Oryctolagus cuniculus: one gene and its partners. The protein of the gene in region 6 purifies or fractionates together with the protein of the main gene of each other region. This does not show direct contact. Links are inferred from orthologs where the notes say so. Each region holds a gene or a part of one and is shown on either strand. Other genes may lie near its edges.

What was found.
Region 1: the proteins of PFDN4 (region 6) and PFDN5 purify together in Homo sapiens (affinity purification with mass spectrometry; 5 studies listed by BioGRID and IntAct, counting the BioPlex papers as one, with this or other methods). This does not show direct contact. The link is inferred for Oryctolagus cuniculus from reciprocal best matches to the Homo sapiens genes PFDN4 and PFDN5.
Region 2: the proteins of PFDN4 (region 6) and PFDN6 purify together in Homo sapiens (affinity purification with mass spectrometry; 6 studies listed by BioGRID and IntAct, counting the BioPlex papers as one, with this or other methods). This does not show direct contact. The link is inferred for Oryctolagus cuniculus from reciprocal best matches to the Homo sapiens genes PFDN4 and PFDN6.
Region 3: the proteins of PFDN4 (region 6) and PFDN1 purify together in Homo sapiens (affinity purification with mass spectrometry; 5 studies listed by BioGRID and IntAct, counting the BioPlex papers as one, with this or other methods). This does not show direct contact. The link is inferred for Oryctolagus cuniculus from reciprocal best matches to the Homo sapiens genes PFDN4 and PFDN1.
Region 4: the proteins of PFDN4 (region 6) and PDRG1 purify together in Homo sapiens (co-immunoprecipitation; 3 studies listed by BioGRID and IntAct, counting the BioPlex papers as one, with this or other methods). This does not show direct contact. The link is inferred for Oryctolagus cuniculus from reciprocal best matches to the Homo sapiens genes PFDN4 and PDRG1.
Region 5: the proteins of PFDN4 (region 6) and PFDN2 purify together in Homo sapiens (affinity purification with mass spectrometry; 6 studies listed by BioGRID and IntAct, counting the BioPlex papers as one, with this or other methods). This does not show direct contact. The link is inferred for Oryctolagus cuniculus from reciprocal best matches to the Homo sapiens genes PFDN4 and PFDN2.

The regions. Positions count from the first base shown.
Region 1 is NC_091442.1:56,307,226-56,311,312, forward strand, and holds the start of PFDN5 (prefoldin subunit 5), read left to right. Parts: upstream 1-1,287; 5' UTR 1,288-1,373; coding exon 1,374-1,445; intron 1,446-1,623; coding exon 1,624-1,726; intron 1,727-1,887; coding exon 1,888-1,919; intron 1,920-4,056; coding exon 4,057-4,087. UniProt on the Homo sapiens protein: Binds specifically to cytosolic chaperonin (c-CPN) and transfers target proteins to it. Binds to nascent polypeptide chain and promotes folding in an environment in which there are many competing pathways for nonnative proteins.
Region 2 is NC_091436.1:135,834,645-135,837,696, forward strand, and holds PFDN6 (prefoldin subunit 6), read right to left. Parts: upstream 1,663-3,052; 5' UTR 1,405-1,662; coding exon 1,341-1,404; intron 1,140-1,340; coding exon 1,069-1,139; intron 989-1,068; coding exon 864-988; intron 693-863; coding exon 563-692; 3' UTR 501-562; downstream 1-500. Other genes in the region: WDR46 (WD repeat-containing protein 46), read left to right, coding at 2,062-2,130, 2,227-2,439, 2,552-2,632, 2,783-2,895, 3,015-3,052. UniProt on the Homo sapiens protein: Binds specifically to cytosolic chaperonin (c-CPN) and transfers target proteins to it. Binds to nascent polypeptide chain and promotes folding in an environment in which there are many competing pathways for nonnative proteins.
Region 3 is NC_091437.1:27,961,788-27,966,009, forward strand, and holds the start of PFDN1 (prefoldin subunit 1), read right to left. Parts: upstream 2,801-4,222; 5' UTR 2,653-2,800; coding exon 2,620-2,652; intron 1-2,619. UniProt on the Homo sapiens protein: Binds specifically to cytosolic chaperonin (c-CPN) and transfers target proteins to it. Binds to nascent polypeptide chain and promotes folding in an environment in which there are many competing pathways for nonnative proteins.
Region 4 is NC_091442.1:25,807,318-25,811,184, reverse strand, and holds the end of PDRG1 (p53 and DNA damage-regulated protein 1), read right to left. Parts: intron 3,409-3,867; coding exon 3,334-3,408; intron 1,693-3,333; coding exon 1,612-1,692; intron 1,222-1,611; coding exon 1,139-1,221; 3' UTR 501-1,138; downstream 1-500. UniProt on the Homo sapiens protein: May play a role in chaperone-mediated protein folding.
Region 5 is NC_091438.1:37,686,125-37,690,166, reverse strand, and holds the start of PFDN2 (prefoldin subunit 2), read right to left. Parts: upstream 2,801-4,042; 5' UTR 2,722-2,800; coding exon 2,647-2,721; intron 1-2,646. Other genes in the region: NIT1 (deaminated glutathione amidase), read left to right, coding at 2,856-2,908, 3,473-3,568, 3,816-4,042. UniProt on the Homo sapiens protein: Binds specifically to cytosolic chaperonin (c-CPN) and transfers target proteins to it. Binds to nascent polypeptide chain and promotes folding in an environment in which there are many competing pathways for nonnative proteins.
Region 6 is NC_091442.1:7,288,885-7,292,901, forward strand, and holds the start of PFDN4 (prefoldin subunit 4), read right to left. Parts: upstream 2,801-4,017; 5' UTR 2,699-2,800; coding exon 2,672-2,698; intron 2,291-2,671; exon of another isoform or gene 1,834-2,290; coding exon of another isoform or gene 1,831-1,833; intron 1-1,830. UniProt on the Homo sapiens protein: Binds specifically to cytosolic chaperonin (c-CPN) and transfers target proteins to it. Binds to nascent polypeptide chain and promotes folding in an environment in which there are many competing pathways for nonnative proteins.

The DNA of each region.
Region 1 (4,087 bases), about 49 Mb from region 6:
CTGGCTGCTCCACTTCCGATCCAGCTCTCTGCTATGGCCTGGGAAAGCAGAAGATGGCCCAAGTCCTTGGGCCCCTGCACCCATTGGAAAACCTGGAAGAAGCTCCTGGCTTTGGATCCACACAGCTCCAGCTGTTGCAGCCATTTTGGGAGTGAACCAGATGGAAGACCTTTCTCTGTGTCTCTACCTCTCAAATAGGTCTTTAAAAAAAAAAAAAAGTTTTAATTTATTTGAAAGAGGAGAGCGAGAGATCTCATCTGCTGGTTTGCTCCCCAAGTGACCACAATGGCCAGGGCTGGCCAGGCCAAAACTAGGAGCTTAATCTGGGTCTCCCACACAGGGGCCCGAGGACTCAGGCTATCTTCCCATCTCCCACTGCTTTCCCAGGCACATTAGCAGGGAGCTGGATCAGAAGTGGAGCAGCCGGAACTCAAACTAGCACCCATTTGGGATGCTGTCATAGTAGGCGGCTGCCTAACCTGCTATGCCACATTTGCCCTAGCAGCTCAGGTGGGTGTATCCCACCTTGGAGTGCCTGGATTCAATTCCCATCAGGAATTCCGGGCATCCTAGGAAACAACACATAGACCTTGGCCTCCCAGAACACACACCCACATGTAAGCCAGAACCCCAGGAAATAACCCATGTAGGTTCTGGGCTCCAAGGAAACAAGATGTGTTCATAGCACAGCACCTGGTTTGAGTCCCAGCTACTCTACATTTCCAATGCAGCTTCCTGAAGGCAGCAGATGATAACTGAAGTACTTGGGCCCAGCACCCAATGCGGCCGACCAGGATGGCGTTCCAGGCTCCGTCTAGCTAGCGCAGGTAACACATGCTACGGAGTGACACCTTGTGCTATGCTTGTTGGCTGACTGTGGCTTTTTTTTTTTTTTTTTTCAATTTTTCACAGTTCACAAAACATTTATTGTGTGACGTTCAGACTGCGGCTTTTTAATCCTCTCCACTTCCAGACTCTCCCCTGCGTCTGCTCCAAGCAGCATTTTCATGATGCTCCTCTGCGACAAGGGACAAGGGGCCCGACCAGCTGCCCCCCACCACGCACACAGCTGTCGGTCACTAGATTTACACGCTGCCTTACAGGATTGTGGCTGTGTCCTGAGCACTTCAGGATTTTCAACTTCCTGGAGGACAGGCATCATGGCTTGCTACAACTTTATTGGACTAGGCTTAGACTATCCCGTGACTCTCAACACAAGGTGCACCTGAGCGGCTCCAGCGCCTCCCTCCCTTGCGGGTCATAGAGACGTCCGGCGCAGCGAGGCCGCCGGGCACGGCCATAGAGACGCGCAGGAGACGGCTAGAGCGTCGCTCACGCGGCCGGCTTCCTCTCGGCTACTCCTCCGTCCCAACATGGCGCAGTCGATCAACATCACGGAGCTGAACCTGCCGCAGCTAGAAATGCTCAAGAACCAGCTGGATCAGGTGGGGATGGAGCCCGAGCAACACCTTTCGCGCGCTCCACATCCCGTCGGCCACACGCAGCCTCTCGCCCCCCACCCCGTTCCTTTCCAGTTTGAGCCGTTTCCCTTCCCCGGCTCCCAGGGTCCGCCCCTCTCGGGCCCCGGGTCCTCAGCCGGCCCCGCTTTCCCGTCCCGTGTAGGAGGTGGAGTTCTTGTCCACGTCCATCGCCCAGCTCAAGGTGGTACAGACCAAGTACGTGGAAGCCAAGGACTGTCTGAACGTGCTGAACAAGAGCAACGAGGGTATGCGGCGTAGGAGCGGGCAACGCGGGGACCGCGGCGGCGAGAGGACCGGGCGCTGCGCGCTGAGCGCCGCTGCACGCGCCCTGTGCATGCTGCCGGGCTCTGAACTCCCTTTACGGCTGCCAGCCTGCCCACGCTGTTTGTCTTCATTGCTTTCACAGGGAAAGAACTGCTCGTCCCACTGACAAGTTCCGTATCCTTTCCACTGGGATTGCTACCGCGCCGCCTCCCGGGGGCGGGGCGGACACCGTAGAACTCCCCCTTGATTTTTTTTTTTAATTTGAAAGGCAGAGTTAGAGAGAGGCAGAGAGAGAGTGGCCTTCCATCCGTTGGTTAATTGCCCAATTGGCCGCAATGGCCAGTGCTGTGCCGATCCGAAGCCAGGAGCTTCTTCCGGGTCTCCCACACGGGTGCAGGGGCCCAAGGACTTTGGCCATCTTCCACTGCTTTCCCAGGCCACAGCAGAGAGCTGGATTGGAAGTGGAGCAGCCGGGACTCAAACCTGCGCCCACATGGGAAGCGGCACTGCAGGCAGCGGCTTTACTGGCTACCCCCTCCCCCCAGTGATTTTGAGAGGGCTCTTGTTGTACACACTTCGTAGCCTCAGGTCGACATCCAGCTCATGCCTTCTGAGTGCCAAGGGATATGGTATGTAGAGTTGTGGTCTCCCCCCCATGCTGTTAGAGGCCATGAATATGAAGAAAAAGCTGATCTTCTTTTGCTAGTATTAAACAGGGAGGTTGGCTCTGTTCATTAACCCTAAATTTCACTTTCCCCGTGGCCCATTCCTCAGCTGCTGGAAGGAGCCTGGGTTAGGCTCACCTGCTGGGGGTTGACCTGGAATGAGCAGGTTCTGGCAGTGGCGAACCTGCGGTGCGTAGCTGGCGTTTGGGAAAGGGCACAGGAACGGCGGTGTAGCAGTGAATGGGCATGAGCCACTTCGTGATGGGGGACGATGAGGGGACATGAAGCTGGCTCTTCACGGGGTCCACTCCAGGCAGGGGGAGACCATCACCAAATCCAGTCTTTGCCGAGGAGTCCTTGGGAGGAGTTACAACAATCGCTTGGAGGGCGGGAGATGGAGTCGGGGCTAGAGTTCCAGCACAAGCCAGCTTTCTCCAAAAGGAGCCAGCATCTTTGCGGCTGCCTTTTGGGGGCTTCAGGCATACTTCTTTTCTTTTCTTCTTTTCTTTTCTTTTCTTTTCTTTTCTTTTCTTTTTTCTTTCTTTCTTCTTTCTTTTCTTTCTTTCTTTCTTTCTTTCTTTTTTTTTTTTTTTTTGACAGAGTTAGAGAGACAAAGGTCTTCCTTTTTCCGATGGGTCATCCCCCAAATGGCCGCTATGGCCGGCACACTGCGCCGATCCGAAGCCAGGAGCTGGGTACTTCCTCCCGGTCTCCCATGCGGGTGCAGGGCCCAATCACTTGGGCCATCCTCCACTGCCTTCCCGGGCCACAGCAGAGAGCTGGCCTGGAAGAGGAGCAACCGGGACAGAATCCAGTGCCCCAACCGGGACTAGAACCTGGGGTGCCGGCGCTGCAGGCGGAGGATTAGCCTAGTGGGCTGTAGCACTGGCTTTCAGGCATATTTCTAAGGCCTCCAGATTACTCAGTCCTTACCCCTTGTGGTTTGTTTTAAAAAAAAGACGGTCAGGGCCAGCACTGTGGTGCAACAAATTAACCCACGGCCTGCAGCACCCGCCTTTGTTGGTTCAAGTCCTGGCTGCTCCACTTCTTTAGAAAAAAAAAAAAAAAGACATTTATTTATTTGAGAGGCAGAGTTACAGACAGAGGGAGTGAGAGACAGAGACTGGAAAGCCCTTCCATCCACTGGTTCACTCCACAATGGCTGCAACAGCCAGAGCAGCGCCAACCTGAAGCCAGGAGCTTCTTCCAGGTCTCCCACGTGGGTACAGGGGCCCAAGCACTTGGGCCATCCTCTACTGCTTTCCCAGACCACAGTAGAGAGCTGGATTGGAAGAGGAGCAGCTGAGACTTGAACCAGCACCCATATGGATGCTGGCTCTGCAGGTGGAGGCTTAGCCCCACTACACCACAGCGCCAGTCCTGGCCAACTTCTGATCCAGCTCCCTGCTGATGCGCCTGGGTAAGCAGCAGCAGATGGCCCAAGTGTTTGGGCCCCTGCAGACCCAGAAGAAGCTCCAGCCGGCTAGTTGCGGCCACTTGAGGAGTGAATAGATCTCTCTCTGTAACTCTGCCTTTCAAATAAATTAATTAAAAAAGAAAGAAAGAAGCCGTAGGAGGCCAAGCAGCTGGCCCACAGGGACTCGGGGCTCATGCTGGGCTGGTTCCCCTTAACCCTTGCCTCGCAGATGTACGTCCCTGGCAAGCTGCACGACGTGG
Region 2 (3,052 bases), on a different chromosome or scaffold from region 6:
GTTATTTTGGTACAGAAGCTTTGGAGTCATGCATGTGATGGGTCTTCAAAGAGTACATGGAAAATGCATGATTCAAAATGTCTTGCATGGAAATATTTTTATTGAGAAGCAGAGTCAAAAGCCCCCACCTGCTGTAACCCAACCTTTTATTTCCATTTTCCCATGAGCCCTACGGAGCACTTGTATTCACAGCAAGGGGAGGAGTCACATTTCATCCTGGGTTCTCAGAGAATTCTGAGTTCTTCAATTTAAACGACACTCCCAACAATATGCTTAGGTTGTAAATGTCCTTGTGTTTCCTAAAAGGCCGTGTCTTAGGAAAATAACGGAGAATTAAGGGCTGTACATACGAGTACAGGTGAGGAGCAGCTTTGAGACATTTTAGAGTTTAGTTCCAGAGACTGCAGGTGCTGGAATGTGGGCTTGAGGGAGTAACAGTGGTGTGTGGTGTGTGGGTCAGGTGATGGAGGCCGGGGGAACAGACAAGCAGGACAACAGAGCCAGGTGTTTACATTTTATTAGGTACTTAGAGTGGCCCATCCCACCCCGCCCCGCCCCGAGGTCAGGCCTTCCCGGGAGCCCCTGCCTTGGCCGCCTGGGCCCGCTGGAACTCCTGCTGCAGCTGGGCCAGGGTCTCCCTCTGCTGCTCTGACTGCCGTTCCAGGTCCCGGAGCTGGGATTCGTATCGCTTACTGAGGAGAGGCCAGGGGCCAGAGAAGACAGGGAGAAGTTAGAGGGACTTGCTAGGGGGAGGGGCAGGCCGCGTTAAAAGGGGAGGCTTCCGTGGGCTGCTCCGAAGGGCAATCCACTCAGGTCCCCAGCACCCGCCGGCCGACAGCCAGGGCAGTGGGACAAAAACTCACATTTCAGCTGTGATGTAGTCCAGCCTCTTCCCCACCGTGGCCCGCGCCTCCCCCAGCTCCTGCTTAACCAGCACCGGCCCCAGCAGTTTAAAGACCACGTTGGACCCGTCCAGCAGAGCCAGTTCCTGGTGGGCGAGCGGGACGGGTCTGATCAGAACCGCAGCCGGTCCAGGCTGCTCCGCCCCCACAACTCCCGGCCCCTCACCTCCTTCACGATGTTGTTTTCCGTTAGTTGGGCTTCAAGCTTCTGCCTCCCTGACATGGATTTACTCAAGTCTAGGGAGGAAGGGAGACGTGAGTGGGACACCAAGAGTGCCACGGGCTCCCACAGTCCTGGCCCAGAAGGCGGATGTGAGGAAGCAGACCGGGAAGAAGGGGCGAGTATACAGGCGGGGAAGGAGCGGGCCGGCTGGGGCGGAGAGCTCGTTTCGGCTAGTCTGCGGGCTGCGGCGAGACTACGCCCACCCGGTCCCTTACCCTTCTGTAGCTGTTGATACTTCTCCACTTCTCCCTGCAGCTTCTTCTGGATCAGCTCGGCCATGGCGGGGATGAAAGCCTGCGGGAACGGGAGAGGGGCGCTGGGGTCGAGCTCCCCTTTCTGGTCGGGCCGACGGAAATGACAGTCCTCTTGAGAGGCAGTCCTTCGGGGCACCGCGGCCTCTCCCTGTCCGGGAAGTCGAATCGACCCGACCCCAGTGGGTGCAGGACGAAAAGAAACGCAAAACCCCTGAAACGGTACCCTAACCTACTCACGTTCTCCCTTCTGTATTAATCAACCCGGAAGTAAACATGGAATGCTGGGAAAATCAATCCGGAAGTTGCCTCCAGGTTGCATGTCGGGAAATGTAGTTCTAACATTTTTAATAAGCGGCATTCGGCTGAAATGACTGGACTCAGAAGGTTTTAGGCAAGACAGAGAAGTTAATCCGGAAAAAGACTATTCTGTTACTGGTTTCTGGCCCGGACTTGACTTTTTTTCCCCATTCCTCGGGTATAAGCTGCGGCGCCCGAGGGAGATGCCACAGCACGCCCCGCCCCTTAAAGGAGAGTGTGCCCTCACTCAAGATGGCGTGCTCAAGACTTCAGCCCTGGAACGATGCTGATTGGCTGAGGCGGAACAGAGGACTTCCGGGAGAGTCTAAGCCGACTGTGGGACAGCTGAGAGATTTGCACGTGGATCGTTGTTCCAGTGGGCGAGATGGAGACAGTCCCAAAGGCCAGTCAGGATGCCCCACCCAAGAAGGACAAACCTCAGGCCAAGAGGAAGGTACAGGCTTCTCTGGACGGGCAGGGAGGTTTTAGCTGTGGGGTTCGGGGGCGGGACGTGGGCCGCGGAGTTCCAGGGCTCCTGATCTGCCCGTAGAAACCGCGGCGATACTGGGAAGTGGACACCACTCCGAGCGCCACCGGCGCCTCTCCAGGCCCGCCTCCTAAGAAGAAGCGGAACCGGGAGCTCCGGCCCCAGAGACCAAAGAACACTCAGGTCACAAAGAAGTCGCGCATCTCCAAGAAGACCCTGGTCGCGAGGAAGTCTCGAGGGCCGAAGAAGCCGGAGCCCCAGCGGAGCTTGTCTGGGGTGAGCCTGCACCGCGGCAGGGTGGCGGGGGCAGGTTTCTCTGTGCTTTGCGAGTGAAAGGGTTGGGGGGTCAGCCCGAAGCTGTGAGCTGACTGCCTCCTCTCTGCCCCAGGCCCAGGACCCCTTCCCGGGCCCCGCCCCCGTCCCGGTGGAGGCAGCCCGGAAGTTCCGTCGCATTGACAAATCTAAAAAGGTGAGAATCGCTGGACGGTGGGGAAGGACTGGAGGCTGGGAGCGCCTGGGTGAGAAGGATGGAGGTGGGGCCCGGTGGCTCTGCTGTGATTCTCCGTGTTCTCCCTCCGCTCCTCCTCCTCCTCCTCCTCCACTCCCAACGCTGTTGTAGCTGCCGCCTTCCAAGTCCAAGACGCGCAGCAGACTTGAGGCAGCTGAAGCTGAGGAAGAGGAAACCAGCGTCCAAGCTGCCCGCTCAGAGTTGCTGCTTGCTGAGGAGCCTGGGTGAGTGGACCCCGACCTGGCCCTGCCGGCCCTCGTCTCGCGGGATTTCCCTGCCTCGTTTTATGTTGGTGTGCCCACTTCATAGAGGGAGCTTTACTGCAGTATGGACGCTCTTCCAGGTTCCTGGAAGGGGAGGATGGGGAAGACACAGCAAAGA
Region 3 (4,222 bases), on a different chromosome or scaffold from region 6:
TCTAGCAAAGTTTCAGAAGATTTACTTTGGGGAAGAAGAGATGTCTATATTTCCTATTAAATACCACTCAAAAAAATAGCTTATGAAGACATTAGGAAATAAAACTGATACACGGAGCCAATGCTAGGGCACTGAAGGTTGAGCCTGCAGCAATGCCATCGAATTCTGGCTGTTCCACTTCTGATCCAGCTTCCTGCTAGCTAGGGTGCCTGAGAAGGCAGTGGAGGATGGCTCAAGTCGTTGGGCCCCTGCACCAACATGGGAGACCAGGAAGAAACTCCTGGCTTTGGCCTGGCCCAGCTCCACCATTGCAGACATCTAGGGAATCAATCAATGGATTCTCTCTCTGCTTCTGCCTCTCCCTCCCTTTCAAATAAATAAATCTTTAAAAAAGAAAAAAAAAAAAAACTGATATACGTTTCCTTGTTAATTGGTTGTCAAAATTATTCAACTTGTCTATAATTTTTTTTTTTTTTTGACAGGCAGAGTTAGAAAGTGAGAGAGACAGAGAGAAAGGCCTTCCTTCCGTGGGTTCACCCCCCAAATGGCCGCTGTGGCCGGTGTGCTGTGCCGATCCAAAGCCAGGAACCAGGTGCTTCCTCCTGGTCTCCCATGCGGGTGCAGGGCCTAAGCACTAGGGCCATCCTCCACTGCACTCCCGGGCCACAGCAGAGAGCTGGCCTGGAAGAGGGGCAACCGGGACAGAATCCGGCACCCCAACCGGGACTAGAACCCGTGGTGCCAGCGCCGCAGGCAGAGGATTAGCCTAGTGAGCCATGGCGCCGGCCTATAATTTTTTTCTTAGTTTGTATTAATTGTTTACTTGTTTCTTATCAATAAATTCAAAGAGTACTGGGAAGCAAGCCCTTTCACAGTTAATACTTTTGATAGTTCTTCATCAAAATCTTGGTTTCTGCAGCACCGGTTCTAGTCCCAGCTGCTCCTCTTTCAATCCAACTCTCTGCTATGTCCTGGGAAAGCAGCAGAAGATGGCCCAAGTCCTTGGGCCCCTGTACCCACGCAGGAGACCTGGAATAAGCTCCTAGCTCCTGGCTCCTGGCTTTGGATGGGTTCAGTTGCGGCCACTTACGGAGTGAACCAGTGGATGGAAGGCCTCTCTCTATCACTCCCTCTCACCTTCTGTAATTCTTCCTCTCAAAAAAAATATTTTTTAAAAAATCTTGGTTTAAGGCCAGCGCAGCGGCTCACTAGGCTAATCCTCCGCCTAGCGGCGCTGGCACACAAGGTTCTAGTCCCAGTTGGGGCGCCGGATTCTGTCCCGGTTGCCCCTCTTCCAGGCCAGCTCTCTGCTGTGGCCAGGGAGTGCAGTGGAGGATGGCCCAGGTGCTTGGGCCCTGCACCCCATGGGAGACCAGGAAAAGCATCTGGCTCCTGGCTCCTGCCACCGGATCAGCGCGGTGCGCCGGCCGCAGCGGCCATTGGAGGGTGAACCAACGGCAAAGGAAGACCTTTCTCTCTGTCTCTCTCTCACTGTCCACTCTGCCTGTCAAAAATAAATAAATAAATAAATAAAACTTGGTTTAAGTTTACACTTTTAATGGAAAAAAGGGTAAATTTTTCAGAAAACACAATTTTATTCTGAAATGTAAAATTTCAGGTATTTTCTGACTGTTCTATACAGTTTATGGAGGAAGATATAGCCAAGATATTAGAGAACAGCATGTAAAAGCAACTTACAAGTTTCAAGACAAGAGCAGCAGAAGAAACGAGACGCAAACACCTTTAAAACAGTAACAGCTTCATTTAATAAGAGCTATTTCAGCTGCCCTATTTCTAATGCAAAGACTGTTCAGATGTTTTCCATGAAGAACTTAAACTACTGGTCAAAAAAACCTGTAAGAGAACATGGTATTCTAATTCCACTCTTTGAGACTTCTCTAGAGTTGTTTCCCTTTCTAGAAAAGTAGATTTAAATCCTATGCAGTCCAGGGTCCTTTCCAATCCGCCCTCGCCCCCCAAAGCACACGTTTTGAGTCGGCAGTGGAGTTAGAATCCTGACTGCTCTCCGGTACCAAACATTTATAAGCAATTGTTTGAACAGAAGAAACGCAATTCCTTCTCAAAATGCTTTTATTTGGCAAACTCTGCTGCTCCTTTTTTTAGACAAGCCCTTCGCAAAAGGAGGGGAGGAGGAGAGGGGACAATGCCTTCCTGCGGCTTTTCAAGGTACAGGATGGGAATAAATGGCTTTAAAACAGGTGTTGGGTTTTTTCTCCCGAATTAAATGAGGCAGAATTACACACGCCTCAGCCCCAGGCAACCGCACCAAAGAGGTTTTAAGACGTTGTCTTCTGTTCTTACCATGAAACTGAGCCCCTGAAGGCTCCAAACGCAACGAAATAGCTCTGGGGCTCAGAACAAACGGGTAAGCTCGCACTCGGACCCGGCCCGGCTCAACTAGCTCCCACCCAGCAAGAGCCGCTAGCTGCCCACTCGGCTCAAGGAGGCCCCGCGGCGCCTCAGGCCTCCGGGAAAACATTCCCCAGTCCTCCAGCGCCTCTTTGCTCCCGCAAACATTCAAGCCTCACTCGATATTCCTGTCCACAGTCCCTTCGGCCTCCAAAGAGAAGCCTCTGCCTGCTCAAGACCCTCTTTTACCTTCTTCAACTCCAGATCCACGGGGGCCGCCATCTTGATGCACCCCTCTGCGCCTGCGCATTGGAAGAAGGCCGGAAAGGGGTGGGGGAAGGGCTGCGTTTTGATGGGTCGCCCTCCTAATGCGCCTGCGCCTGCGTGCCGCTAATCGGGTTTGTTTCCCTGTTGCGGAGCGGGTTACTCTAAATATTCAAGATTCCGATTCAATTTGTCTTCCCTTGCTGACCTATCAGGTCTGGCTTGTTCCTCCACATCTTCCAGACACAGCCCAACGTGTAGATTTCGCTTGTGGCTTTGAACAGTTTGATAGTTTTTCTACTCAATTGAGAAGTGCGTGGATCAGGTCAAACCCTCATCAGTTATTCAGTCCTACAGCTCGTCCTGTGCTGTCAGAGATGAGTAAGAAGGGACCCCAGACCTCAGGCCTAACCATATGGAGAAGACTATTAGAAGGCTTGGGTTTTCCACCAAAGAACTCATTTCTACTGAATGCTCCCAAAGACTTTCTAGATTAGAGATTCTCGAGGGAGGTGATATGTTTGATTTTTGGAAAAATTTTTGGAAAAATGTTTAGTACAGTGGCTAAGACATCAGCATCTCATACTGGAGTGTATGGGTTTGAATCCTGATTAGGCTTCCAATTCTGGTTTCCTGCTAATGAACACCCTGAAAGGCCTTAGTAATGGATCGAGTAATAGGGTTCCTGCCACCCATATGGCAGACCTGAATTGGCCAGCTTTGTTCTGGCCAATCCTGGCACTTGAGGACTTTTGTAGAATGAATCAGTGGAAGGAATCAAGATTTCTCTCTCTCCCTCTCTCTCTCTCTCTCTCTCTCTCTCTCTTTCAAATAATAGTAATAAATGTTAAATAATATAGATTCTTAGGTCTCATTCCAAGCTTATTCAGAATCTTTGAGGGCTTAAAAATTTGCAATTATCCTAACTCCCCATGACCTGGTGGCGCAAAAGTTGTCTACAGAACACATTTGGAGAACCTCTGCTATAAAAGGACCTAGCATTTGAAACAGGCAATTGGGTTTGAGTCCCGGCTGCTCCACTTGTGATCCACCTTTCTGCTGTGGCCTGGGAAAGCAGTAGAAGATGGCTTAACTCCTTGGGCCCCTGCACCCGTGTGGAGACCCAGGGGAGGCTCCCGGCTCCTGGCTTCAGATTTGCTCAGCTCTGGCCGTTGCGGTCATTTCCGGAGTGAACCAGCACATGGAAGACCTCTCTGGCTCTACCTCTCTCTGTAACTCTGTCTTTCAAATTAAAAAATAATAATTCTTTAAAAAAAAAAAAAAGAAAGAAAGAAAGGGACCAGCGCCGCGGCTCACTAGGCTAATCCTCCGCCTAGTGGCGCCGGCACAATGGGTTCTAGTCCCGGTCGGGGCGCCGGATTCTGTCCCAGTTGCCTCTCTTCCAGGCCAGCTCTCTGCTGTGGCCAGGGAGTGCAGTGGAGGATGGCCCAAGTCCTTGGGCCCTGCACCCCATGGGAGACCAGAAGTACCTGGCTCCTGCCTTCAGATCAGCACGGTGCGCTGGCCGCAGCGCACCGGCCATGGCGGCCATTGGAGAGTGAACCAGCGGCAAAGGAAGACCTTTCTC
Region 4 (3,867 bases), about 19 Mb from region 6:
TCAGAGGGTTATCGTGAGGAATGCGTCACTTCTACAGGCCTCTCCTGTAAGGTGTTTCGACAAACACCCACGTTTTTACATGTTTTTCTGAATCGGGAGACTCAGCAACCCAGATTTCTAGCTCTTGAAAAATACTTGATCTGGTCCTACCAGGCTGTCCTTACCACAGTCAGTCAGGCCGTGGAACAAGGGGAACGGGCAAAGTGTGCCCTCTGCACGTTGTCAGCTGTGAGTCCCTGCTGCCTGATCCCGGGAGCCTGGAAATCCACCTGTGCGCGTCTCCCTTGTGCATGGGCCCAGGCATCTGCACCATCATTGCTCCCTCCCAAAGTACACATCAGCCAGGAGGCTGGGATTGGCGGCAGAGTCTGGAACCCAGGCACTTGGCCATGGGATGTTAGTCTCCTACCTGATGCTTCAACAGCTGCCCCCATGTGGGGTTCTCAAAGGACTGGTGCGCACTCCATGGAGGACCGAGTGAGAAAGCGCTAGAAACCGACTGTTTTACTACTGTTTATTGAGTCCTCCACAAGCAGGACATTCTTGCCCATGAGGAGCCCAGATGCTGAAGGCAGCCAGGCCTCTAAGTGGTGATGAAGGGGCGCCCCTCCCCCACAGGGGTCTAAGCAGCACCCACGCCCTGGGGCCAGCAGGGGACGCATGTGCGCACGCCCCCCGAGCTGCACAAAGCACTGAGTGTCCTTCATTCAGAAGCCACCTGCTCTATTCCAGTTCCACCGTGGATGCTGCCTGCCTGGCATCTCCCCTGAGACGAGGGCTGGACCAAGGATCCAGCTTTGCCTCTCCTGCCCGGCGCCATGTGAACAACAGGCCATTGTCAGGAAGTGCCTGGTGCAGTCACTCACCCACACACACCCACTGCAGCCGCCAGGGCCTGTCAATAGGTCCTGTGTCCTCCGAGCCACAGACGTCAGGCCCAGCAGACACAGGTGGGCTGAGGTGCCCTCCTGCCATCACCAAGTAGCCCAGCACTATGAAGCCTTCGCATGGTGCCCCAGAGGGCTGCCTGCTGCTGCCAGTGCACAGCCGTCCTTGTAGCTTTCAAGGTTAGGGAGTCCTGGCTCCTGCGTGACTCGGGGGACGCCAGTCTTAGTTCCCCCACGGTGGTACCTGAGCTTCATCCTTTCAAGATGACCTTGAGAGCTTTAAGCTCAGCTGGGTTGAGGGGGTTCAGGTTAAAGCCCTTCAGCTCCGGTTTACCTACAGGGAGAAAGCAATCCATCAGCACATGGGCCTCCTGCTGTCCACCCTACTGCTGGCTCTGGCAACAGGCCCAGGAAAGCGGCTAGCACGGCACAAATGCTGCCAAAGTTGGCCTTGGGTTCTGGCAGGATGGGCCTCAAATTCTGCAATGCACCTGCTCCTGGGTCACCACGAACCTGCAAAGTCATGAGACTGCACACCCAGAGAGCTCCAGATTTTTGCCAGATCTGTGACTGATCTGGAGTGCTCGATCTACTCTAAGTTTCAGCTCTGACCTCGATCCCCTGACTAAGCCCACTCTGTCTCTGGGTGGTTGCAGACAGCCACTGCCTGTACCGCCACTGCCCACCACTGAGGGGCTTCCCACCCCGGCCCCGCAGCCAATACCTTGGGCCTCAAAGAGGCGGTTGACCTTCACTTTAAGTTGTTTCCGCAGTTTGTCTATTTCTTTATCCAGATGGTCCTGATCTGAAAGAGGCAGGCAGACGGTAAGGCCATACTGGACAGACTGACCTGCAAGTGGGGCTGCCAGCTCCCAGAGCACTGAGGAAGGCCAGGCCCTGCCCAAAACAGGCCAGGCCCCGACTCCCAGTGGGAGTGACCTGCCCTTTTCCCAGCCAGGGAGCTGTTTGCAGCCCAAGTTCGTGCTTTTAAGATACTTTTCCAGAGTTCCCAGGATCTAATGGTCTTTAGAAACTCGAGTGGCACATGTTGAGTGCCCAGACTCGCAGACCCCACAGCAGGGGTGGGAACCTTTATTTCTGTCTAGGGTAATGTGGATATTTATAAAACATAATTCGTGGGCCTTATAAAATCAACTTAAAAATTAGCCTCCTAGCAGCCTTCACTGTGGCACAGAGGGTTAAAGCCCTAGCCTTCAGGCCGGCGCCGCGGCTCAATAGGCTAATCCTCCACTTGCGGCGCCGGCACACCGGGTTCTAGTCCTGGTAGGGGCGCCGGATTCTGTCCCGGTTGCTCCTCTTCCAGGCCAGCTCTCTGCTATGGCTGGGAGTGCAGTGGAGGATGGCCCAAGTCCTTGGGCCCTGCACCTGCATGGGAGAAAACACCTGGCTCCGGATCAGTGCGGTGCGCCGGCCTCAGTGCACCGACCACGGCGGCCATTGGAGGGTGAACCAACAGCAAAGGAAGACCTTTCTCTCTCTCTCTCACTGTCCACTCTGCCTGTCAAAAAAAAAACAAAAGCCCTAGCCTAGCCTTCAGTGCCAGCATCCCATATGGGCGCTGGTTCAAGTCCTGGCAGTTCTTCTTCTGATCGAGCTCTCCGATATGGCCTGTGAAAGAAGATGGCCCAACTCCCTGGGCCCCTGTGCCCACGTTGGAGACCCTGAGGAAGCTCCTGGTCTCAGCTCAGCTCTGGCCTTTGAGGTCATCTGGGGAGTAAACCAGTGGAATGGAAGACCTAACTCTTTGAAATAATCTTAATTAGCCTCCTACAGACTTACTGAATTCCGAGTCCCACCTGCAGCTGCCTTGGCAGGGCCAGACCAAAATGTGCCTGAAGGCTGGACGGTCCTCACTCCTAGGTTCACTCTCCCCACACCTCCATTTCAACAGTCTCTACTGCAGTGAACAGGAAAAATAAAAGCTCACGGTCCCAGGGTCTTCTGCAGCTGAGTGCCATGGGACTTGTTCTGGGCAATAAGGTATTGGCAGTAAGCCCCTGGGAAGGATGGCTTTATTTCTAAAAAGAAAGGCCACAGTAGAGAACCTCCAGCCTCTCCTCCAGCCTGGCAAGACACGCAGTCTGTAATGACGCACGGGAAACGCTCAGGTGCCGACGCTGCGCAACTGTGCCGGTCCTGACCTGCCCTCCTCTGCGGCATCTCTCATGCGTGAAACCCCGAATCCTTATTTTCCTGAAGCCTCAATGTGTTGGGTTTTCTGCTACTTGTAACCCAACGAGTTCCTCTCTGATGAGCAGGCACTGTGCTGTGCGACACAGCAGGCCCAGGGCAGGGCAGGGGTTAAAGCCCACACCAGTGTGAACTGTAACACAGCTGCCCAGGCTCCAGCTCGGTTCTGGGTTAAGAATGTGTCCCCCAAGAACAGCGCCACGGCCCTGGCCCACCCCGAGGAGGCCTTCCTTACCTTTCTCAATCATCTCCTTGGTCTGAGGGTGCGGCATCTTGATAAACATGCTCCCGAAGCACACCGTCACATCCTCTGAAACAGCAAGCGGTCACTCCTTTACCACTTCCCGAGTACCTACTACCTTCCAGCACTGTCTTAACCACTGAGAACACAGCAGAACAAGACAAAGCGCCTGCACTCGTCGTGTTCAGGCTAGAGTGCAGAGGGAATAAGCAAAGGTGTGTGAAAAGTCAAGTAGTTTAAAAAGAATTGGGGATGCTAGGGGAGGGACGCTTATACCAAGTGGTTCGAGGTCTCTGATTATGTGACATTTGAGCAGAGACCAAAGTGACAGTGTAGACATCCAGGGAGGAAACGGGACCAGCAAAGATCAGAAACGTGGGCAGACACAATGCCTGCATCCTATTTGGGCGCCAGTTAGAAACTTGGCTGCTCCACTTCCAATCCAGCTCTCTGCTATGGTCTGGGAAAGCAGCAAAAGATGGCCCAAATGCTTGGGCCCCTACACCTACGTGGGAGGCCTAGATGAAG
Region 5 (4,042 bases), on a different chromosome or scaffold from region 6:
CTGTAGTACCATTATCCAACACAGCAGAAACCTGAGAAACAGCCTATATTCTTCTTTTATACCTTTTTCTTCACATTCAAAGTCTTGGAATTCACCTCAAACTTTAAGTCCCTCTGCATCCCAAACATACAAGGCAGTTTCATGTCTTAGTGCTTTTGAACACATTATTCTCCACACCCTGAAAATCTTGCACTTCCATCTTTGCTTGACTAACTTCTCTCATTCCTTGGAGCTGAGCTAAAGAATTTTCTCCTAAGAGAATAAAAAAACAAAAGCTGTGAGGCAAGTGTTTGGCACAGAGGTTAAGACACTGCTTAAGTACTGGCTCCTAACACGCACTGTGGGAGGCAGCAGGTAATGGTCCCTGCTGCTCATGTGGGAGACCCAAGTTCAGGGCTCCTGCTTCAGCCTGGCCCAGACCCAGCTGTTATGACATATGGAGAGTGAACCAGTGGATGGGAGATCCTTCTTTCAAATTAAAAAGTAAGTAAAAAAAATAATAACCACAACAAACCGAAAAAAGCTGGGCTAGGCATTCAGCCTAGCAGTTAATATGCCACTTGGAATGCCTGCATCTCCCATCACAGTGCCTGGGTTCTAGTCCAGGCTCAGCTCCAGTGTCCAGCTTCCTGCTAAAGAGCATCCTAGGAAGGGCCAGCACCGTGGCTCACTTGGTTAATCCTTCACCCGCAGCGCCGGCATCCCATATGGGCACCAGGTTCTAGTCCCAGCTGCTCCTCTTCCAGTCCAGCTCTCTGCTGTGGCCCAGGAAGGCACTGGAGGATGGCCCAAGTGCTTGGGTTCCTGCACCTGCGTGGGAGACCAGGAGGAAGCACCTAACTCCTGGCTTTGGATCAGTGTAGCTCCTGCCGTACCAGCCATTTGAGGGGTGAACCAACAGAAAGAAGACCTTTCTCTCTGTCTTTCTCTCTCACTGTCTAACTCTATCTGTCAAATTAAAAAAAAAAAAAAAGAGCATCCTGGGAAGCAGTAGATGAGGGCTCAAGTGGCTGAGTCCCTGCCACCCACATGGCAGTCCTGTACTGAGTTCCTGATTCCTACCTTCAGCCCCAGTGCCAGCTAGGCCTGCTGTGAGCATTTTGGTAGTGAAACAGCAAATGGGAGCTCTGTCTCTGTGCCTCAGAATAAACATAAAATTCGAAGAGCTAACCAGAAATTATTAAACATACTGCATTCTAGTCACTGTGCAAAAATACTTTATATGCATTGCCTTACCTAATACTCTCAATACAGTGATCAGCTAGTTACTACTATGTTTTTTACAGACTGAGAAGGCTGAGTAACTCAAAGGAGGTCATACATAAATAGTAAACCCAGATCTGTCTGACTCCAGTGTTTAAGAATGCTCTTGAACCAACGGCAAAGGAAGACCTTTCTCTCTGTCTCTCTCTCTCACTGTCCACTCTGCCTGTCAAAAAAAAAAAAAAAAAAAAAAAAAATGCTCTTAGCCACCACCCCACCCCTAAATCCCATACCCTCTGGATTAGTTTAGGGGTCTCTTCCCTGGGCCATCAAAAAAAAAAAAAAAAAAAAAAAAAAAAAGGAGAGTACATTATAAACCTTTGCCTTTTCTCAAATGAGTGTCAATCACTTGAAGGCAAGCTCTATTTATCTGTTTCCCTGTACCCAGAAAATGCCTAGCACAGGGCAGACCCTGAAAACATATCAGGTTTCTTCTCCCTTCCCCCCTTCTCCTCTTAAGTCTGAAACCAATTTTTCCACCTGCCTGCAAACCCCATGCCACTGTACATCTCTTAGGATACATCTTCTGCCTCACAGTAGCATTTTGTATGTCCTATTTACCTCACCAAACCCCGCTCTTTGATGGCAAGGGACAATTTTTAAATCCTTATGTAGAAACTGCTGCGGGCATTAACTGTGGAAAACTCATAAACGAACCTAGAATGAAAATAGCTTTTAACTGCTGTAATTTCTGTGTAGCTTTCTTCCCACTCTGATTAGCCCCATTATTAGCAAGCCACTGTTCCCTAGTTTCAAAAGGCTTTCTGATCAATTTATCAAACGCTTCCGATGTTAGGCACGGGGCGGGGAGCAAATTCAGATCAGAGAAGGGTTTCTGTTCTCCAGAGAAATTCAATCTGGTAATGACTCCCGAATCAAAACAGTGTAGAACACTCGGACGGTTCGAGTATGTGAGTCACGTGGCTCTGCAGGGTGACGGCGATCATCAACGCAGTTTCAGGGTCACGTAACGGTCTACACAAGCAGCCCGCTTACTCATTCCGTGGGATTCTAGACCAGCTGCCATGCCCAGCCCTATCCCGCTTGGGGCTCCCGAGGAGGGGTGCGCAAAGCGACGTCTCATCTCCCCTCAGACCTGTGTGTATCTTCCCACACCCTGCCTCTCTGGGCTTTCCCTCCCCCAACCCCACCCTCAGGCTCACCCAACACCCCCGAGGGGCGTGGCCCTCACCTACCCACCCGCCTACAGTCTTCCCCGGGGGCTCCGCCAGATTCTCCAAGGACCCTCCCCTCTCTAGGTGGCCTCGCAAATGTGGGGCTGCAGTACAGGCCTGCACTAGCCACAGCCACCGCCACCCCTTTTTGAGACGTATCGGCTCCAGACACAGCCGGGGACCCCCCTTCGCGCTCTTAGCTCCTCACCTGCTCGGCCGACACCACCCCCTTCCCAGCGCCGCTCCCGCTGCTCTTGCCGGCGCGACCGCTGTTCTCCGCCATCTTCGCCGCCTGCTGGGTTTCCGGCCTGAGCGGCTCAGTCCCGCCCCGCCTTGCGTCACATCCGGGCTGGGAGTTACCGCCCCCTCGCCGCGGCGCCGCTGACTCCAGGCAGCTCTACGGATCCGACCCTGCGAATGGTTTTGGCTGTATCTTCATGTAGGACCTACTCCCTAAGTCGCCGGCCGCGGTGAATCCCACCTAGGGTGCTTTTACCTATGCAACAGAGATGCTGCCCCTGGGAGAGGCGGGAAAGATGGGCTAACTCGAGCGGGGAGGGGGCGCGGGTTGAGATCTGGGTTCCTTGTGCCCTCTCCCCACTTCGGGGTGGTGGGCTACGAGGGAGGGTATGCTTCTCTTAAGAGATGCCGCTGTGGGGAGGGAAATATGCTTTGAATTACTAAAGCTGTGCAAGTGCGCAGCCAAGAAGAGAGGCTTAGAAAAACCAAGGAAGTTTCCCCGAGATGACTTCTGAACTGAGGAAACGCTTGGCAGACCAAAGGGCTTCAGCTTAATGTGAGATCTCTGGGAGCTGAGCCAGTCAGGCACGGAGCCAGCCCCTTCCCCCACCCTCCACCTTTGAGCTTCCCCCGTCGCCCATAGAACTTGCAGTGGAGAGTGTTTTAAGGACTGGGGTGTTAGTTTTTAATGGAAGGGCCCTGTTTGAGCTTCACAGTGTGAAGGTGAAGACAGAATCCTAGAAATGTCTTCTCTGAGGGCAGGGTTAGGTGTCCTGATTTCTCATCTTCCTCAGGCTGGGCTTCATCAGCAGGCCTCCTCACCAGCTCCTGTCCTTTCTGTGCCCTGGACTCCGGACACCTCGACCCTCAGTACTTTGTGCTCTGCCCAGGTAACATATTTTGTTGTGTCCTTGGTGCCTGCCATATAGTAGATGCTCAGTGTTTGTTAAATGGATGGTGGGACTCAGGTATCAACCATCCAAAGAACACTGGATCTGTGAACCCTGGATCACCGTGGACTGTAAGAGCAGAGTCAAAACGAAGTCCAGCCTTCCCTGCCTGCTCATTTGAGCCGCTTATTAAACTTGGGTTTCCCCATGCTAGGAAATCTGACAATCCTGCCTGTGGCATTCACAGGTCCAGAGCCATGGCTAACTCCTCTTCCTCCTGGGAACTGCCCCTGGTGGCTGTGTGCCAGGTAACATCAACACCAGACAAGCAACAGAACTTTAAAACGTGTGCTGAGCTGGTTCGAGAGGCTGCCAGACTGGGTGCTTGCCTTGCTTTCCTGCCTGAGGCATTTGACTTCGTTGCACGGGACCCTGCAGAGACGCTACGCCTATCTGAGCCACTGGGTGGGGACC
Region 6 (4,017 bases):
TTTCCTGAACTGCCTTTGGGCACAGACAGTTCCTAACTGGGGTCCACAGACACTGAGAGGTCAGGTCACCCCCTGAGACTCTGTGCCCAACAGTGTGTGCAGGAAGTGCGTTTTTCCAGAACTCAGATTCTCAAAGCAGCCACAGTAGCAGGTTAGGGGCTCCTGCCTCAAGAGAAGCCACCTTTGTTACCACACTCATGAAGGCAGGAGCTCTTGGAGGAGGAAGTTACTTTGTGATACCTGAGGCGCACAGGGGCACAGTCAGAAAGGTTCCAATCCAAGCATAGGAACCTCGGGCAAATCACTCAATTCTTTGGAATCACTTCATGTTTTTAAAATGGAGAAGTCAGTTCCCACCTTGCTGGGGTGAAAAAATACCCAGGGCCTGGGACCAACAAATGAGAGGTCAGCACTTATTTTCCTCAATATTGCGAACCAAAAATCACTTCAAAGGAACAAGAGGTCCACCCCTAGACTTGTGCTAGGCCTAAAAAAAATATGACAAGATACAAGGTGAAGGGTTAGGGCAGGTTAAGCCAGCATCCGACATAGGTGCCGGTTCAAGTCCTCGCTGCTCCACTTCCAGTTAGCTCCCTGCCAACGTGCCTGGGAAAGCAGCAGAAAATGGCCCAGCTCTGGCCATTGTGGTCAGTTGCAGAGGGAACCAGTTGATGAAAGATCTCTCTGTAACTGAAAATTAAAATTCCCTGGGCTCCGACTATGCCCTTTTCCTGAAATTAGCATTTCATGGGATTTCAGGAGGAAATGGAGCCATACTCAGTCACGCCCCTCATCAACCATGGGTGTCACCCAGATTGCACTGACAGCTGCATTTCAGAAAGAAATTCTGGTTAATTTCATTCTGCTTTTATTTTTATTTCTGAAAGGTGCCTACCAAGTCCATATGATATAAATTTTTGCTTTGTGTTTTGTTCACCTTTCATGCATACAGCTACTCATGTAGCAACTATTTAGTATTTCCTAAGCGCCAGGAGTCATAGTCCTACCTTCCTGAACACCGACAAGCCTCATGGTGGAAGAGGCAGACAAAAACAGGGTGAACAAGAGAACATTACACAGTGATAAATGTGACAGTAAAAATAAATTCATTCTATTAGGGGCTGAAGGTTTTGGGGAGCTGGGGAGTGAAGGCAGCTTCTTTAGAGAGAGGTCAAAGACTGCCTTTCTGAGCCTGGGGACATTCGTACCTAGGAGACTCCTACGGCCAGGAAGCAAGCTTAGGAAGCAGACGTTTAAGGGGGAGAACTGTGCCATCTCCACTAAAGGTTCTCACCTGCGAAGCCATGACTAGTGGGAGGCAGCTAACATGTAGCCAGCGAAAAGCACTCCAGGTTGCAAAGGATACACTTTTTACTAAACTCAAAGGGAAACACAGACAGCTCAAGCTCCCAAGACCCTTCATGAACTGGCCACCGCCGGTCCCTCACCATGTTTTCCCACCCCCTACCCTGTCTGCCTTCCTTTTACCAACTGCACAAGGTTCCCCCTCTCTGAACCTCACTTGCTCTGCACCTCTGCCCTTCCTCCTGTGTAATCTCAGACCTCGGCTTCAAATGACACCTCCTCTCGGCTTCCCTCAGTTCTCGCTGGAGGTGGAAGCGAGTTTTCTGAGGGACAATCTCGGTGCTGCCTGCTTCTCTCCAAGAGCCTAACAAGCGAACAATACAATGGGGATGCAAACTCCAAGTGCTCATCACTGTCAGTCCCTTAAAACGGACTCTGCTATGTGCCCTGCTCAAAAACCGCAGGGAACAAATAAAAAGGGTGGTCCCAGAAATGTTGCGCTCAGGGTTCAGATCATCCTCTTACCATTCTCTCAAATGCTCACTTGCTCTCTGCATTCCACACCCCACCTCCGCCGGCCGCACCACTGCTGGTATCCCCCGTGGAATGAAAGCCCGCACTTAACAAAGGGCCCAATTTCACCAAGCACAGGTGAAGTGAATTTCACGTTTCACGCTTGTCTCCATCTCCCTGGCTCTGGGGCCCCTTCTCAGGTGCTCCGTAAGCATCTGAGGGGGCAGGGGCAGGCCAGGAGGGTGAGCCCTTCATCCCCAGCTGCAGAATGGGACGGCTGGGCGCCTCCTACACCAGGCCCAGGCCCAGGCCACATGGACTGTGCGGTGCTGGGCAGTCAGAGAGCAAAGGACGTCCTAACGTGGTCCCAGGGCTAGGACGAAGGCAAACGCGCCCAAGACCGGGGGGTCCGCAGCAGAGACCCCCGCCGCAGTTAAGAACGCCACAGCTGCAATGCCTAATCCCTGGTTTGGCCTCTGCGCTTCGGATTGCTCGTTTGCCAAATAAGGATCCAAAGCACCTCCCAGAAGAGGAGCCCAGGAGGGAAATGGATCAGATGCCGAGCTCCAGCCCTGCGCGGCAGCTGAGTCACTTGGGAGCCACTAACCGCCGCCGTCTACGGTTCCCCATCAGCGAGGAGGGGGAGCTCGGACGATAATCGGCCGGCGGTGAGGCCCCGTCGGGAGACTCAGGGGCTGGGCGCAGCCACCCGCCCGTACGCGGACGCCGGGCCCGCTCCGGCCTCCGCCCGGCCGCGCGCTCGGACAGGTGCCTCCCCGGCCCCCGGCCCCCGGCCCCCGGCCCCCGGCCCCCGGCCCCGGCAGCGCTGCCGCGGTACCCAGGTGAAGCCCACCTTGGGCGTCAGGCCCGCGGCTGCCATAGGCGGTCGCTTGCCGCTGCCGGGGGCAAGACCCGGACCGCTGGAGTCCCCAAGGGAGAGGCGAGAGGCGGCCCAGAGCACCCCCCAAAGCCCCGGGGCCGGGGGCGCGGGCGGGCGCCGCAGCGGCACCGCCCTGACGGCTGGTGGCCTCGGCCCCGGGACCGCTCCGGCCCCCAGAGCTGCGCACCGCCGGCATCCCGCGCCCCGGCCCCCGAGACCGACCCCGGCCGCCGCCCGGTCCCCGGGCGCCCCACTCACCGCCTTCTTCATGGTGGCCGCCATCTTGGGACTGGACTACGGGGCGAGGCGGGGAGGGCCGCAACGGTGCGGTCACCCGCGGGCCCCCTCTCACGCCCTACCGGCCCAGGACTCCCAAAGAAATCCAACGCCGTCTCCTCATCCCCTCCTGCTGGGCCTCCGACCAATGATTCCTCACGGCGGGCACTCGGGGAGCAAGCGTAACCTGGGAGGACTTGGTACATGCCAATTAAAGAGACAGGCGTCTCCCTGCGGGCGGACAGAGGCGCCGACGCCGACCGCGGACGGCAGGGGGCGCGCGGCGGGCGGGCCGGGCCGGGCCGGGACCTGGAGGGCGGGCCCGGAAGTCTGTTTTCAGGCATCCGACACGGGCGCTCCCTAAGAGGTAGGAACGCAGGGCCTTGCCCTTAGGATGTGAGGTTTGTGTCTCCTGGTGACTCCAAAGGTGCGACGCGGGAGGGCCCCTATGCGTTTATTCAACAGTGCAGCTGAACAGCTAATTAATCCTCCTGATTCTTTATTATCTTTAAAATTTTAGCCTCGAGAGCCGTTACAACTTTAATAATTATTGAGGACACCAAAGAACTTCTCTTTTTGTGAGTTACATTCATCGATAGTTACTATATTAGAAACTAAACCAGGATTTTAAAAAATGTATTCATTCATCTAAAATACTAAAACTCATTCCGTAGTAATAGGAAACAACATTTTAAGTGAAAAGCAACTTATTTGCCAAGGTAAAATTTTTTTTGAGAAAAAGATGACAGAGTTTTTTACATTTTTGCCAACCGAACGTCAGGCTTAATACAAAGTTACAGCCTCACTTCCCATCAGTCAGTGATGTATCATTTAGCTGATACCTCTGAGCTCTTTCCCCCAAGTCAGCTTCCCCTTGGTTAAATCCTGGTAAGAGGGTCCTCCTGCACCCTGTCTCCCAGCCCACCGGGCACCCACGGCCCCTGCCTGTTCTGTCGGTTGCCAGCTCCCAACTCCAAGCAGCAAGCCTAATGATTACCTTCAACAATTACGGTTAATTCCCTGCAGCTGGAAATACGGCTGCC